Tamandua tetradactyla: one gene and its partner. The protein of the gene in region 2 purifies or fractionates together with the protein of the main gene of each other region. This does not show direct contact. Links are inferred from orthologs where the notes say so. Each region holds a gene or a part of one and is shown on either strand. Other genes may lie near its edges.

What was found. The genes of interacting proteins can lie anywhere in the genome.
Region 1: the proteins of WWP1 (region 2) and PTPN21 purify together in Homo sapiens (affinity purification with mass spectrometry; 3 studies listed by BioGRID). This does not show direct contact. The link is inferred for Tamandua tetradactyla from reciprocal best matches to the Homo sapiens genes WWP1 and PTPN21.

What each region holds. Positions count from the first base shown.
Region 1 is NC_135338.1:48,817,526-48,824,511, forward strand, and holds the start of PTPN21 (tyrosine-protein phosphatase non-receptor type 21), read right to left. Parts: upstream 3,011-6,986; 5' UTR 2,674-3,010; intron 2,668-2,673; exon of another isoform or gene 2,527-2,667; intron 1-2,526.
Region 2 is NC_135332.1:129,826,978-129,833,873, reverse strand, and holds the start of WWP1 (NEDD4-like E3 ubiquitin-protein ligase WWP1), read right to left. Parts: upstream 3,014-6,896; 5' UTR 2,827-3,013; intron 1-2,826. UniProt on the Homo sapiens protein: E3 ubiquitin-protein ligase which accepts ubiquitin from an E2 ubiquitin-conjugating enzyme in the form of a thioester and then directly transfers the ubiquitin to targeted substrates.

The DNA of each region.
Region 1 (6,986 bases), on a different chromosome or scaffold from region 2:
GGGACAGGATCGGCCAGGCGATCCCCAACCCTCTCATCTGACAGACACGGAACCCAAGCCTCAAAAGGAGAGCGGTTTTCTCAGCTTCACACAGGGACAAGCTAAGCTGGCAGTCGACCCCAGGTCCCTCACCCCTAGTGCTTTTACTATTTCTCGCTTTCCCGACTGCGTCTTAGCCTCAGAAGTGATGCCACTCAAGACTGGAGGATGGCAATACTAGAGAAATAGGATTTAAGCTATTACACTAGGTTTTGGCGAACTTAACAAACTGAAAATTCCAGTCCACAAATGAGTACTGCCTGCCTGAATACAAGGCAGTTCAGAAGACATTGTGAGAAATCAAAGACGAATTCCAAACAGTCTCTCTCCTTAAGGAGATTACGAGGATGCTATAATTACACTCAGAGTTCTCTAATCAGGAACCGACCACGGTTTTCTCCCTGTCTGCTGTTTTTGTTGTTGTCGTTGTGCTTTTCTAGCGCTAGTTATCCTCGGATAGCCAGAAAAATAAAAGTTAAACAGTATAGAGGAAGGCCAGAGGAAACAAAAATGGAACCACTTAAAACAGTGTTAACTAAGAGCATTTACTAAGAGCATTTTCTAACTGCCTTCTGTAGCTTACTAAAAGTACTATACTATTGAAGGAAACAAAGTAATTCTATAAAGATAGTTTCCACCTGCAGTTTTTCAAAACTCTTTGCTGTTTGTTTTAGAGGTATAAACTAGAAATAATTAGAGCAAAATGAGAAATAAAAATCAGGAAAAGACAGCCGTTGATAGCTTTTAATTGGAAAATTACCTAAGTCAGCAGTGTTTGTGTAAATTTAAAAGATTAGGTATGTTTAACATACTACGTATACTAAATACCCTTTCAGAAGATGAAGTAGTGGATTTCAATTTTATATACAAATCATGGTAACTGGAAACAGGACAGACTAAGTCGTATAGATGAACAAGATATTGCATATAGCAGAGGAAAGAGAAATATTTGTACTACGAGTTCAGATTTGGTAGTCTTTTCACTACAAAGATAGAACTAAGCCTTGAAGGCAGTAGACACTACACTACATAACTTAATAAACTTAAGCTCTGATTAAGCAAACTTTCATTTGTCCCTGAGATTTGAAATGTTTTTCAGCATCAGGGATAATGAGAAGTCAAAGTTTTTGCTATTGAGTTTTTTTTATTTTGGAAGATGTTATAACGTAACTTAAAAAGTTGATGTATGTGTTTATAGGGAGCATTTTTTTTCACAAGATACATCCATGAGTATGGCTTGCTTTTTACATATTTATATGAAACCCATTGTGTTGAAATAGTGTTATACTGAATGAAATTTTTGAAAAATTATCACTGATTTATTGATCTTAATTTTCAATCATGGACAATATTTGCTTTCAAGTGATATCATAAGACTATGAATGTTTGAAAGTAGTATCAAAATCAAGAATAGCAGAAGTTTAAGGTGATCAGGCTTTTTGTCCGTGTTAGGTGTAAAATAATATGCAATAATTAGAAAAGCAGTTGGGTATAAAGTTATAATTTATCTAACTACTAAAGTAAACAGATAATTCCTAAATAATAGGTTTTTGAAGAAAAGTCTAGGAGATACTTTGTTTCTTTACAAAACTTTTCAGTTATGTACTAAAGACAGCAGAAACACATTAAATTCTGCTTCAGTAAAAGCTTTCAAAAGGCAGTCTGAGCTATTTGTAAGTCCTTATAATTTATGCACTTCACAACCCCTTCCAAAAGTTTCTCAAATACACGTTAACCTGGAATCTTGTAGCATTTTCCCCCTTGCTTCTATTGCCCTCACCATATGTCAGTTTGCCAAAGTTGCTCCAAAATAAAATAATCACTACAGGAAGAAAGTATATGATACTTTCAGGCTATCTGAATCTATACATTAGGGTATACGGGTGGTTCAGTGGTAGAAAGCTCTCCTGCCATGCCGAAGATCCCATTCCCGGCGCATGCACCCTCCCCCCCAAAATAAAATAAAAATAAATCTATATATTAAATGAAACATGTTTCTCATGGACAAATAAGATATCTGGGTAAAGACAGTGGAGAATGAAATACCTTAGAAACAAAACGTAAATATTTCCAGAGTAAAATTACTACCATATCCTAATACTGTCACATGGAGCACACGAGTGTTTTGAATGTGTTTGCGACCATACGCTATTATCATAAGGCTTTCTCAGCAAAAAGGAAAATAGTACGAGCTTGCCAAGAGCAGTCAATCTAATCGGGATTTGCAGAAATCACAAGTCGGAATTTGCAGACCCAAGAATTCTTTTTTCTAAATTAAACACTCATTACTCCCAAAACAAAACAAGACGTCACCAAAACAGTCCTTCCCTCCGCCCCCTCTCGCCAAAGTTATGTGGTCAATTTCACACTTTCAGATCCCGAGAAGCACAAATTATGTCTGACTTTTACATATCTGATCCAGAATTAAGCCGCCAACAATTAGCTGAGGCGGTCAAAATAAAATTACTCAAATATATCAAAGAGAACCTGGAAAAGGAAGACTTTTCTCTTTGTTACGTGTCTGCCATCTGTCGGATCCACGAGACCCATCCTCCAGGACTTCAGGGCTGACCAGTGCGCTCGGGGGTCCCTGCGTACGGACACAGCCCGCCCGCCGGGGCCCCGCGCCCTCACCTGCTCCCGCTCCCGCATCCTCGGGGCCGCGCGCGGGTTCAGCGGCCCGCCTCCCCGGGCCCAGTCGCGCGGCCGCTGCAGCCTCGTCCGCACGCCAGCCCGCGCCGTGGCGCGCTCATGGGGCTCGCATTCCTCACTTCCTGTCTCCAAAAAGTCGGCCCGTAGACCATTCCCCTGGACAGTTAGCCCGCGGCGACGGCGAGAGGCTAGGCTGGGAGGTGGGGCCAGCGGCTGGGGGGCGCGGTGCAAAGAAACCGGGCGGGGGCGCGGGCGGCAGGAAAACGGACTGACAGACGGACACTGGACACGCGGCCGGGACAGCGGAGCGGGCCGGGGCCAGGCGTTCCTCCCCCTGGGCCCGGCGGGTGGACGGATCCGGGGCGGCGGCGGCGGTGACCTCAGAGAATTGGAATGCGGGCGGCTGGGCGCGGGCGAGGCGCGGACAGCTGCGCCCGGCCGCCGGGGAGGGGGCGCGCCGCTTCTTTTTTTAATCATATGACCACTTATTTAAAGAGTTTCCAAATAAAGCGAGGCTTTTAATAAAGCGAGGGGAGGGGGGTATTATTTCGGTTCCAGGTAAAGGGGTTTTTATTCGGTGGTCTGTAAAATGCTTTTATTGCAAGAGTAATTCGTTTACTCTTGTACATTTCTGAAGAGAATACAAATGTATTTCTTCCTTTCATGTTTCCTTTTAAGGATATACTGTATAAAACTGGACACCGATCAATACTGGGTTGGGAAGGGAAAAAAAAAAGATATATTAGTATGCTTCAAATAACCTGTAGTGCCCCAAAAAAGAATTGTTTGAAGATTCCATTTAAGACGCACACACTATGAGCACTTTACGTATGTGCAATATAGAGTAAAGCTAATAGGGCTGGAGACTCCACTTCAAACTACCTGGGTTCAAATCCCAGCTCCAACGCTTATCACCTGGGTGACATTGTGCAAATTTTTTAACCTTTCTGTTCCTGTTTACTATCCTGTTAAACGGTGATAATAGTAATCACTACCCAAAAACTTCTGTAAAACATATGTGAAGTGTTTCATTCAATTCCGGTTCATTTTAGCGACGTTTATTACAGAGTATTAGTATATTTTTACTGTTTTGAAGCATTTAAACTGAGAAGTTAAACTGTGACCTTAACGCGGTTAAAATCACGTGATCTTCCTTGACAAGTGATTTAAGAGATTGAAGCAGAGAAGCTTTTAATGCATGCAAATTCTAATTTCAATGATTTGTTTAATGCAGTTACTTCTGGAAAATTTTTAATGTTTCATTTTATTTAAATCCCATTTTCTTCAACAAGTAACACACTTACTGAGTACTTACCATCCATAAAATACGTTCCCTGCCCACAAAGAACTTTTGGCCTAGTGGCTCCTAAACATAACCACACACCACAAGGCCTGAGCAGTAAACCCTTCTACAAAGGTGTGAGTGCTAGCATAGAAAAATGTAGGGCAGGATTCAGCTTGGGTTTTGTAGATAGAGGCAAACAAGATAACATGTTTCTAATGAAAAAAAAAAAGATTATTTTTGTCATGATGCGCCAACTGGACATTAGGAGGGTTTCAAATTGTGTGTGAGGAAAAAAAGAGAAATGAAAATGAGTCATTTTTCTCCCAAGCTACAAATATTGAAATTATGTGTGACCTTTCTCCCTTCTTATTTCCAGCTTGCCATCAAGACCTGATATTTCTTCCTTTGAAAAGTCTCATGAATTCTTTCTTTCCTTTGCATAACCTCTTGTACATTGTAATCCAAACCCTCATTTTACGTACAGATTACTGTAACAAGCTATCCCCTGGTCTTCTTGCACCTGGTTTCCTTTCTCTCCTCTTTCCATGCTAATATTAGGATTACCTCTCCATCAGGTCCTTTCTAAACTGGCCTTAGCCTCTCTGATCACTTTTAGTTCTCTCTTCTCCCCACCGTGCACTCTCTGCGCCCGTTAAGCATCTTCTGCACGCCTTCTACTTATCTCAGCCTCTTTCCAAAGCTCAGCTCAAGGCTCAATGCTTCCAAGACAACTTTCTAGCCACCCCATTCCACACTGATCTCCACACTTGGCAAGAATTTACAAAATTGTTTCACGAAGCTTCTTTTATATCTCTTAGAATTCCTAGGACAGTGCTGGGCAGAGAGCAGGCACTAAATAAAAACTTGTTAATTGAATCAGGAAGAAAATAAAAGAATTTTAAAAATAGAAAATGAGTGTAAAACCCAAGCCATGTTAAGACAACCAAGTTGAACTTCCTCCGTTACCAGCAACAGATGTCATTTGCTGGCCAAGTATTTAAGCTGTTTTCCCTCTACCATGTTAATCTGGCAGCAATGTCACTTGAACAACCCCATCAAAGTGTTAGACATGAAATTATTATTGGCTTATGTTTTGGATTTAAGGAATTTGGATAATTTCTATGGCTCAATCCCAAAAGATACAAAAGAGCATAAGTGAAAAGTTTCATTCTCTCCCTGCCTGCTTGACACTTAGCTCCCCTCCTAGGTGTAGCCAGTATTGACATATTCCTATATACCCTTCAAGAGATAGATATTCTGAACTTATATAAGCAATTGCATATATGTATATTTAACCTCCTCTTGTTACCCCGAAAGGGGCATATTATACATGGTTTTTCACGTGACTGTTGCCTATTAAAATAAACAAATAAATAAATTTAAAGAAAAAAAAGAAAGGCCTGCCCATAAAAACATGCTCAGTAATAGGGAAGAAAATTGTCTTTGGTAGTGCATTCACAGATATTTCTTTAGGAGATAAGATGTTAATCTGCCTTGATAGCTTGGTGAATACTTAATTAGGAATCTTAGCCACTACCTAGATGAAACCAGCTATATAAATTATCATCCTCTGCAAGAATTTAAGTTGTACAAATATCCCAACCCTCAGAGAAAAATGGTCCCTGGGGTGGGGATGGGGGTTAATAGGAGCCCAAACTAGGAAATTAGAATCACTTTTGACCTCTGAATCCTCACCACACACTGCCAACAGCACTCAACCCTGGATCAGGGGTCTTCTCTTCAGTTCCAAAAGAGAATTTAGGGGACAAATTCCCCTGGACATCAGGTAAATGGTGTTGGCAGTATATTTGTTCAAATGAATAAGAGAATGGGGAAAATATGTCAGCCTCAATAGCAAAAATGACTGCTCTGTACTTCCCAACACTTTGGGCTTTTTGATTCAAGAACAGATTTGCCATGTGATAGTCACTATTGAAAAAATGTGTACATTCACCCATCATTGACTGGAAGCCAGATGAAGCAAGAAAGAAAGTGAAAACGTATGCCTTGTCTTCAAAGACTCACCGTGTGAACAACAGGGGAATCTATGACTCTGGTAGGGCTGGAAGTATATTCTAAGTGGAATGCTGATGCAGGAGAGAGGGATTAGCTTCCCTGGCTAATCACTGCCATCACCTTCTGGCTGAGACCTCAAGGACAAGTGAAAGTTTGCTGAGCTTTCAAGGAAAAGAACATTCCCTCCCTCACCCCCTCCCCCTCTAACCCTGAGATCCCACTCCCCACAAAGGCTTGAAACAACATGAATCAACTGGAATGGGGGCTCCTGGCTCCATGGAGATGGGTTTGGTAATCAGACCTCTCTAACTTTTAAGCCAGTGCTCATTCCAATTATCTTCTTTCCTTTGGAAGACAGCCCAGAGCTGCCTTCAGTGAGGCTCACTGAAAGCTGGTCCTCATACTGCCTCCTAGAGCAACATGTGTCATCTCTTCTGGACCTGAGAGCCCTTCCATGCTGGATAAGCATTCCTGTGGTCCAACTTGGTCTTTTTCAAGCTAAATACTCCAATCCCCTTAATGGTTTCTCTCAGGGTATCGTCATGACCACCTTCCCGAAAGTGTACTGTGGTTTGTGACGCTGCCTCTTACAGGGAAGCCCCTCAAACAGTGATCGTCACTTCTTGTGTTGGCCACATTCTTTCATTCTCTAGAAAATATGAGAGTATTTTCTTTTGCTATTCTCTAGATATTAACCAAGACGTTTGAATTTATTAATAGCAAAATGACATTTTCATTCTAACTATAAAATGGTGGGTAAAGAAATAGAAATGTTTTGCCTTTCTTTTGCTATTGAATTGTGAGTGTCTTGACAGCAGGAACTTGATCTTACTCATCTTTATGCTCTGGCTTATAGCAACACATCTGGTTCAGTGTTATCATTTAATCTTTAATTAACAAACATTGTACTGTAATAAGCCAGACAGAAATGCTTCATAACTATTCATGTATTTATTCCTCATAGTAACCCTATGAAGGAGAAACTAGTATCATA
Region 2 (6,896 bases):
AAGATACAAAGATTCCATTGAAAACCTAAACAGAAGAATCACAAAATGTTAAGATGTGGAAGGAACCTTCTGGACTCATATCATCCTCCCTGATGAAGTCACTTAGAGGCACTAACTATACCCAACTGATGGTAAATCATATTATCTTCATACAAGAAAGAAAACCATCACTGTCAGTTAACTAACTCCTGATTCCACTTTACCCACTTGTTTACTAAGGGCAAATCATTTAACCTCTTGGGTTAGTCTGTTTCATAATATAATAGGAAAGAATATGTTAGTCAAAATTCCTATAAACTATGAAGTACAACACAAGCATAAGATATTACATCTCTAGGTACCCTCTACAGCAGGGGTTCTTCATCAGTGTGGATAGAGGAACCTAAAAGTTCTATTGTTTTATAAAGCTCCCAGATCATTCTGAGATCTGCCTCCCCACCCAACCCACTGGTCCACAGGTTCCACGGTTGAGCTTCAGGTGGTGTATGGATTTCCCTATAATTCAATCCACAAAGCACAGGTGCATATGGGAATTTTTCAAGCCAACTGATTTCTTTAGTTTCACAAAGGGTTAGTTGTCTCAGATGGTTAGTTGTCTCAAAATTACAACTACAGCTGTAAAATAACATACATGCACTGGGATTAAAGCTTCCAAAGATTTTGCTCAAAATGTTACCACCATTCTCCCAACCAATCTGGATCAGAATCTTGGATATTTTATATTTTCTTCATTCTTTCTTTCATCATCAAATCTGGTCTATTCTACTCCCTTTCTCCTTTCCATTCCCATTATCACCACCTCAGTTCTGATACTTACGTCACTATCTATAGCCCAGACAGAGAGCAATGGGGAGGCCTCCCCACACGCGACTACTGGATTAATCCTAAAATACAGCTTTAGTCGTTGCATCCCCAACTCAAAAATCTTCTCTGGAACCTCACTGCCTACTAAATCCAAGGTGATAAACCTGGCATTACAAGCAATCCATAAACTGGGCCAAATTTTTACTTCAAGTTTTATCATCCTTTATTCCTGTACAAATACTTTATGTTCCATCAAACATAATTACTGGTCTCTCTGTGAATGTATGAACTCTGCTCTTAGACCCTTTACTCTGCGTGTATTACCTTTCACTGTCTATCAAAGTCACAGTAATCCTTCAAAACCAAGACTTCAGAAGCCAGAAGCATCCTAACTCCCTAGCCTTACCTTGCTGAATGAAATAAGCTCGACCTCCTTTGACTTTGAAGTCCTTAGGGGACTTCTGTATCATTTATGAAGCGAAGCTATATAATAAAAGACAAATGAGGCATTTGTGTAGTACTATCTACCTACCTAGTCTGTGGAAGGTTTGAAGGCAGAGACTGTTATCCTCATCTTTGTATTCCCTAAATACCTCACACAGTCTTGCAGTAAACACTTAATAATTGTGTAAGGAAGTAAAAAAATTCAGCCAGCACGGGGTAAACAGCTAAGATTAGGATCTCTTCCAAGGCAGACATCCTCTATCATGCCAAGCTTCAAAAAAAATGTAACTGTAAATCACTGCTTTTCAAAACCGTGGTGTCACAGCACTTATAAGCAGTTTTGCACTGTAAAGGAAGATTTATTTGAAAATGTTAATAAACAACATCCCAAAGAAATGAACTATTCCACATGCTTTATGTGTCTCAATTTGAGTAGCACCCAACACTTGGTCAACTCAAGTATTTAATTTAAAAACGATTAACTATTGATTTACTACTGAATGGCCAAAACAAGTCACATTAAAAGAATACCTTCTTTTTTTTAAAAGGTGCAATACACTGCATCTTGCTTGTTTAATACAGAGACTTAATAAGACAAGAAAGTCGATTTATACATAAGTATAAACTCTCACAGAAACCTGCAGACAATTATAAACCAGATACTTCAGGTAAAAAAGACCAAAGGGAAAAAAAATGGGACATTATTTTTCCATAACTATAACCGTAGCACCTTAAAGCAGAAAGTCATATCTTTTTGCACATGAGCCTACACAAAAAGACGAAACATCAAATAAAAACTGTAAAGCCAAATCAGGCCACTGGATGAAGAAGTAAAAATGTCAAAATAACAACTACTTCAGTAACGAAGGTCTCACATAATCATCGGAGCAAAAGAAGCTCAACTCCATATCGATGGAGTAAAGAAAGGGTTGTGCGTAAGATAGTTTAAAGGTTGTAAAAGCAACGGGCAAACTACAAAATAAAAAAAAGAAAGAAGTCCTAAGTCATAGATGGGATAAGGACTGGTTAAAAACTGCAAGGTCACAGGGACCTACCAGGTCACAAAGGTGGAAGAGGGAGCTGTTTTAAAGGGAACTGCAGTCAGTGAAAAACAGGGGGTGATAAAAACATGTCAGAAGAAGACGTTCTAAGGCTGGGAGTCCTTCGTTTGAGACGGTGGAATTGCGGTGAAACCAGGGGTACCGGCAGTTAAGCCAAAATATTTGTGTTTGGTGAGGAGGTGTTAGGGAAATGAAAAGAGATAGAACGGAGGCGAAAAGAAGACTAAGGAAGCTTGAGAACTGCGGCTGCAGAGTCACGGAAACACTTCTGCCGGCTCCAGTAACAGCAGCAGAGGCCTCCGCCAGAGCCAACTCGGGGCAAGACCCGTGACCCCACCCCCCAAAACTCGGAGCCCCAGGGCTGGGAGGCAGCCAGGAAGGCGCGGGCCGTCACTGACCGTCACCGACAGCCCCTCGGAGGGTCCTGCCGGGGTGCGCACGGCGCGGGTTTCCCCGGCCCGCCGCGGAGGCTCAGGGCCCGCACCCGCCCCTCACCACCGCCCCGCACCGTCCTTACCCGCGCGAAGCCGTCTGCTCCCGGCGGCCGGACGGCCACGGCAGCGGCGCCTCCTCCTGCGGGGTCACTCTCACCCTTCCGCGCCCAGGATCGCCATCTCACAGCAGGCTCGTCGGCCCCGGCAGCCCAGGCCGCCCGCAGCCACTCGGAACCCGCACACCGCCCTCGCCGACTCCCGACCCTCCCCCCACCCCCACCCCGGCCACGCGCCACCTCCAGCCCAACCCACACCTCCTTCCGCGGGAGCGCGCCGCGGCCCGAGTGCGCGTCTCCCCACCCGCCGGCCCGCCCCGACACCGCGCGCTGCGCCGCGGCCGCCCAGAGACTCCAAGTCTGGACCCGGAATCCGGCTTTCCTCGAGCATGCGCAGCCAGGGCGCCCCACTGATGCCTTTAGAAAACTCCGCTACTCCGGGTCTTCGGAGTGGTCGAGTGGAGATGGAGGAGTGGCCAATGGGAGAAGGGGGTGGGGCCTGAACCTGTGGAAGGGGCGGGGCCGCTGCCGAGATTTGGGAAGAGGTTTCCAGCTGGCGGCGGGTGTTGCTGACTTGACTTTCCGGTCCGCGGCTGAGCCGGGGGCGTGACCTCAAGGAAGGTCCTCCGGGCAGTGGCATTCTTTCCCCAAAGCTATGTAGCAAAAGTAGGTGCTCCTAAATATTCCTTGACTTCACCGAGTGTTTGACACAGAACATTGCAAGAGTAAATAAAACCAGAAGTCTTCTAGACCATTTTTATTAGTAATTCAAATGTTCATTTCCCCCCCACCCCACCCGGGCCCGGCCCACATTACCCCAGTGATGAAGCTAATACTTAATTGGCAAGTACATGTGTCTGTGCAATTAATAGACCATAAAGTAGGGTAGATTATCTCCATGAAACAATTGAGTCAATTGGTTTAGAGAAGTGGAAAGACTCCCTTCCCCCAGTCTCCCACAGACGGAAAACAGTGTTAGGTCCGGGAAACGGGGAAGGGCACTGCAACTGTAGCTGCTGAGGCTGTGTCGCCCCTCCCAACATGGCTTCTGGAACCGCCCCTTCAGGACACCTGACTTCCGGAGAACCGCCCCTTCCGGATGTCACCTGACCCCCTTGCTTAAAACTGCCCACGCCATCACCCAGGCGCTGACTCACCTCTTTTCCTCTTGGGTCCGCTGGGATCTGCCCTGGAGCACGGAAATAACCCCGCCCCCCCCCCTTTAAATTTCCTTGTCTGTGTTCCTTCTTTCTCACCGTTTCGCCACCTAAACCTTTCAACCACTAGTGACCATGTTACTCACCAGATGACCTCATCTTCTGCTTTGTAGAGATAATAAGGGCCATTTTTCCCCAACTGCCTCACCTAACCCCACAAATTACCTACATCCATACCCGCGCATACTTTTTGCCCTTTGTCTCAGAAGCTAGGTGTCTCCGCTTCTCTCCAAAGTGAACCTCTTCGCCTGTGTGCTTCTTCCTGTGATCCCTCTTTGACCTCACCCTGTCTACTACCTGTAACTCCTTAATATAATCACATTTTAAGATTCCTGTCATAAACAAGTTCTCCGTTGACTAAACCCACCTTCCAGTTCTCTCCTCTCATAACTAAGCCTTTTGAGAGAATTGTCTCAAGAAGAGCTCTGACACTCCTTGTATATTTGAAGGAATACACATTATTTTCCTCTCCTTTTTATTAGTTCCTGCCTTTTGACTTCTCACCTAGATTCGGCACACAGATATTCAGAAAGATCTTCCTAAAATATATCTCTAAGCATGTTACTCCACAGATTACAAACTTTCATTGGCTCTTCAGGGCTGTCCAGGCACAGTTTAATTTGATACTTGAAGCTTCTTTTATGCTCTGTCCCTTCTGTTAGAACAAACTTCTCAGAGTTCTATGAATGTAGTCGTTCATTTCTGTGCCTTAATGCAGGCTGCTTCCTCGAACCTTTTCCTCACCATAGAAATTCCATACAAATACTCAGCAGGGGGTTGTGCTCCATCTCTCGAATTTATGCAAGCCTCCTTCCACTTACCTGTTCTACCATATTGTTACTTTCACCACTCTGACTGTGATTTTCTCTTTAGCTTAGTTCCGTAGAAGCTCTTAGTACTTACCTAGGCCCCTCAGTTGATACCCAGTATTGAAGCAGTTCTTTTTTTTTTTTATTTTTATTTTTAAAAAATTTTTTATTGAGAAATAGCCACACATGTACAGTTCAACCATATTATACAATCAGTGACTCACATATCATCACATAGTTGTGTATTCTTCACCGTGATCATTTTTAGAACATTTGTATCTCTCCAGAAAAGTAAATAAAATAAAAGAAAAAACCTCATACAACCCATACCCCTTACCCCGTCCTCTGATTGACACACAGTATTTCAGTCTACCCAAATTTTAACCCTTTATCTCTCCCTATTATTTTTTTATCCTTTCTTTTTTTTTACTCATGGGCATGGGATAAAAGGAGTATTAGACACAAAGTTTTTACAATCACAGTCACACTGTAAAAGCTACATAGTTATACAAAATTCTTCAAGAATCAAGGCTACTGAAACAGTTTGACAGTTTTAGGTACTTTCCTCTAGCCACTCCTGCACTCCATAAACTAAAAAGGGATATCTATATAATGCACAAGAATAACCTCCCAGGCTAACCTCCTGACTCTGTTTGAAATCTCTCAGCCAGAGACTTTATTTTGTCTAATTTCTTTCTTCTCCCTTTAGGTCAAGAAGGTAGTAGTTTTTTTTTATTGAGTATTTGTTTGGTTTCAAATGAATACCATTATAAATAGATTTTCATAAACTTTTTTCACATCCTTACTTACTATCTCAGTTTAAATTCCTAAAAGTGATCCAAGAGTATGAGCAGTTTTTACCCTTTTGAAACATACTGGCCTTCAAGAAAAAGCTTAGTTTAGGAGTCTCATTGGCTGGAATAAAATCTCAACACTGCCACCCGGAGCCATATTCTAATTTTCATAAGCCCTAGGCATTTTTGCTCTTTTTGGGGCCTCTTTCTCCATAAAACAATGTTAAAATTGTATTTTACAATTTCTTTGGTATAAAGATGAATATATGGATATTGTATATTAAAATATTTTTTCTGGCCTAAACACTCATTTTTTCTTCTGATTTGAAAAGAAATTAAAATATTTCCATGGGCCACTAAAAGTATTATGCCTTTGGAGAAGTCAACCTTGTTGTTACCTACAAGCTATGAGATTTGCAAAACTGCTTAATCTGTGCTGCAACTGGAAAATTGTGCTATCATGTGAGGTTGTAGTAAGAAGTTGCTACAACTTCTTTCTACATGTAAAAACATGAGACTGTAAGTATACCACATAATCCATAAATAGCTGTTTTGGCTTGCTAATGCTGCTGGAAATGCAATATACCAGAAATGGGTTGGCTTTTATAAAGAGAATTTATTAAGTTACAAGTTTATAGTTCTAAGGCCATAAAAATGTCCAGACTAAGACATCCAAAGAAAGATACCTTGACTCAAGAAAGGGCCGATGATTGGGTTTTTCTGTCAACTGGGAAGGCACATGGCAAGGTCTGCTAGCTTTCTCTCCCTGAATCTCATTTCAAAAGGCTTCACCAGGGCATTTTCTTTCTCCATCTCCAAAAGTCTTTTGTGTGTGTGTGTGTGTGTGTGTGTGTGTCAGCCCTCAAGCTTTTTCCAAAGTGATTCCCTCTTAAAGGAGTGCAGTGAGTGGCTCACCTAGATGGGTGGAGACAGATCTCCATGGAAACCACCTAATCAAAAGGTCCCACCCACAATTGGGTAGGTCACATCTCCATGAAAATAACTTAATCAAAAAATCCCACCCAACAATTCTGAATCAGGATTAGAGAGCATGGCTTTTCTGGGGTATACAACAGTTTCAAACAGGCATGATTACTGATGTTATAATTGTTATTTTGAATTTTCCCACAGCACTGTATGAGAGTATATGATTGTGCTTAATTACTGCACCCAAGTAATCGTGGTATATTTGCAATAAACAAATAAGTTATCTTATTGCTAGCCCATTGTCCATTTTCCTACCAGGATATTCACAAAAAGGAATTTTATATACTGTT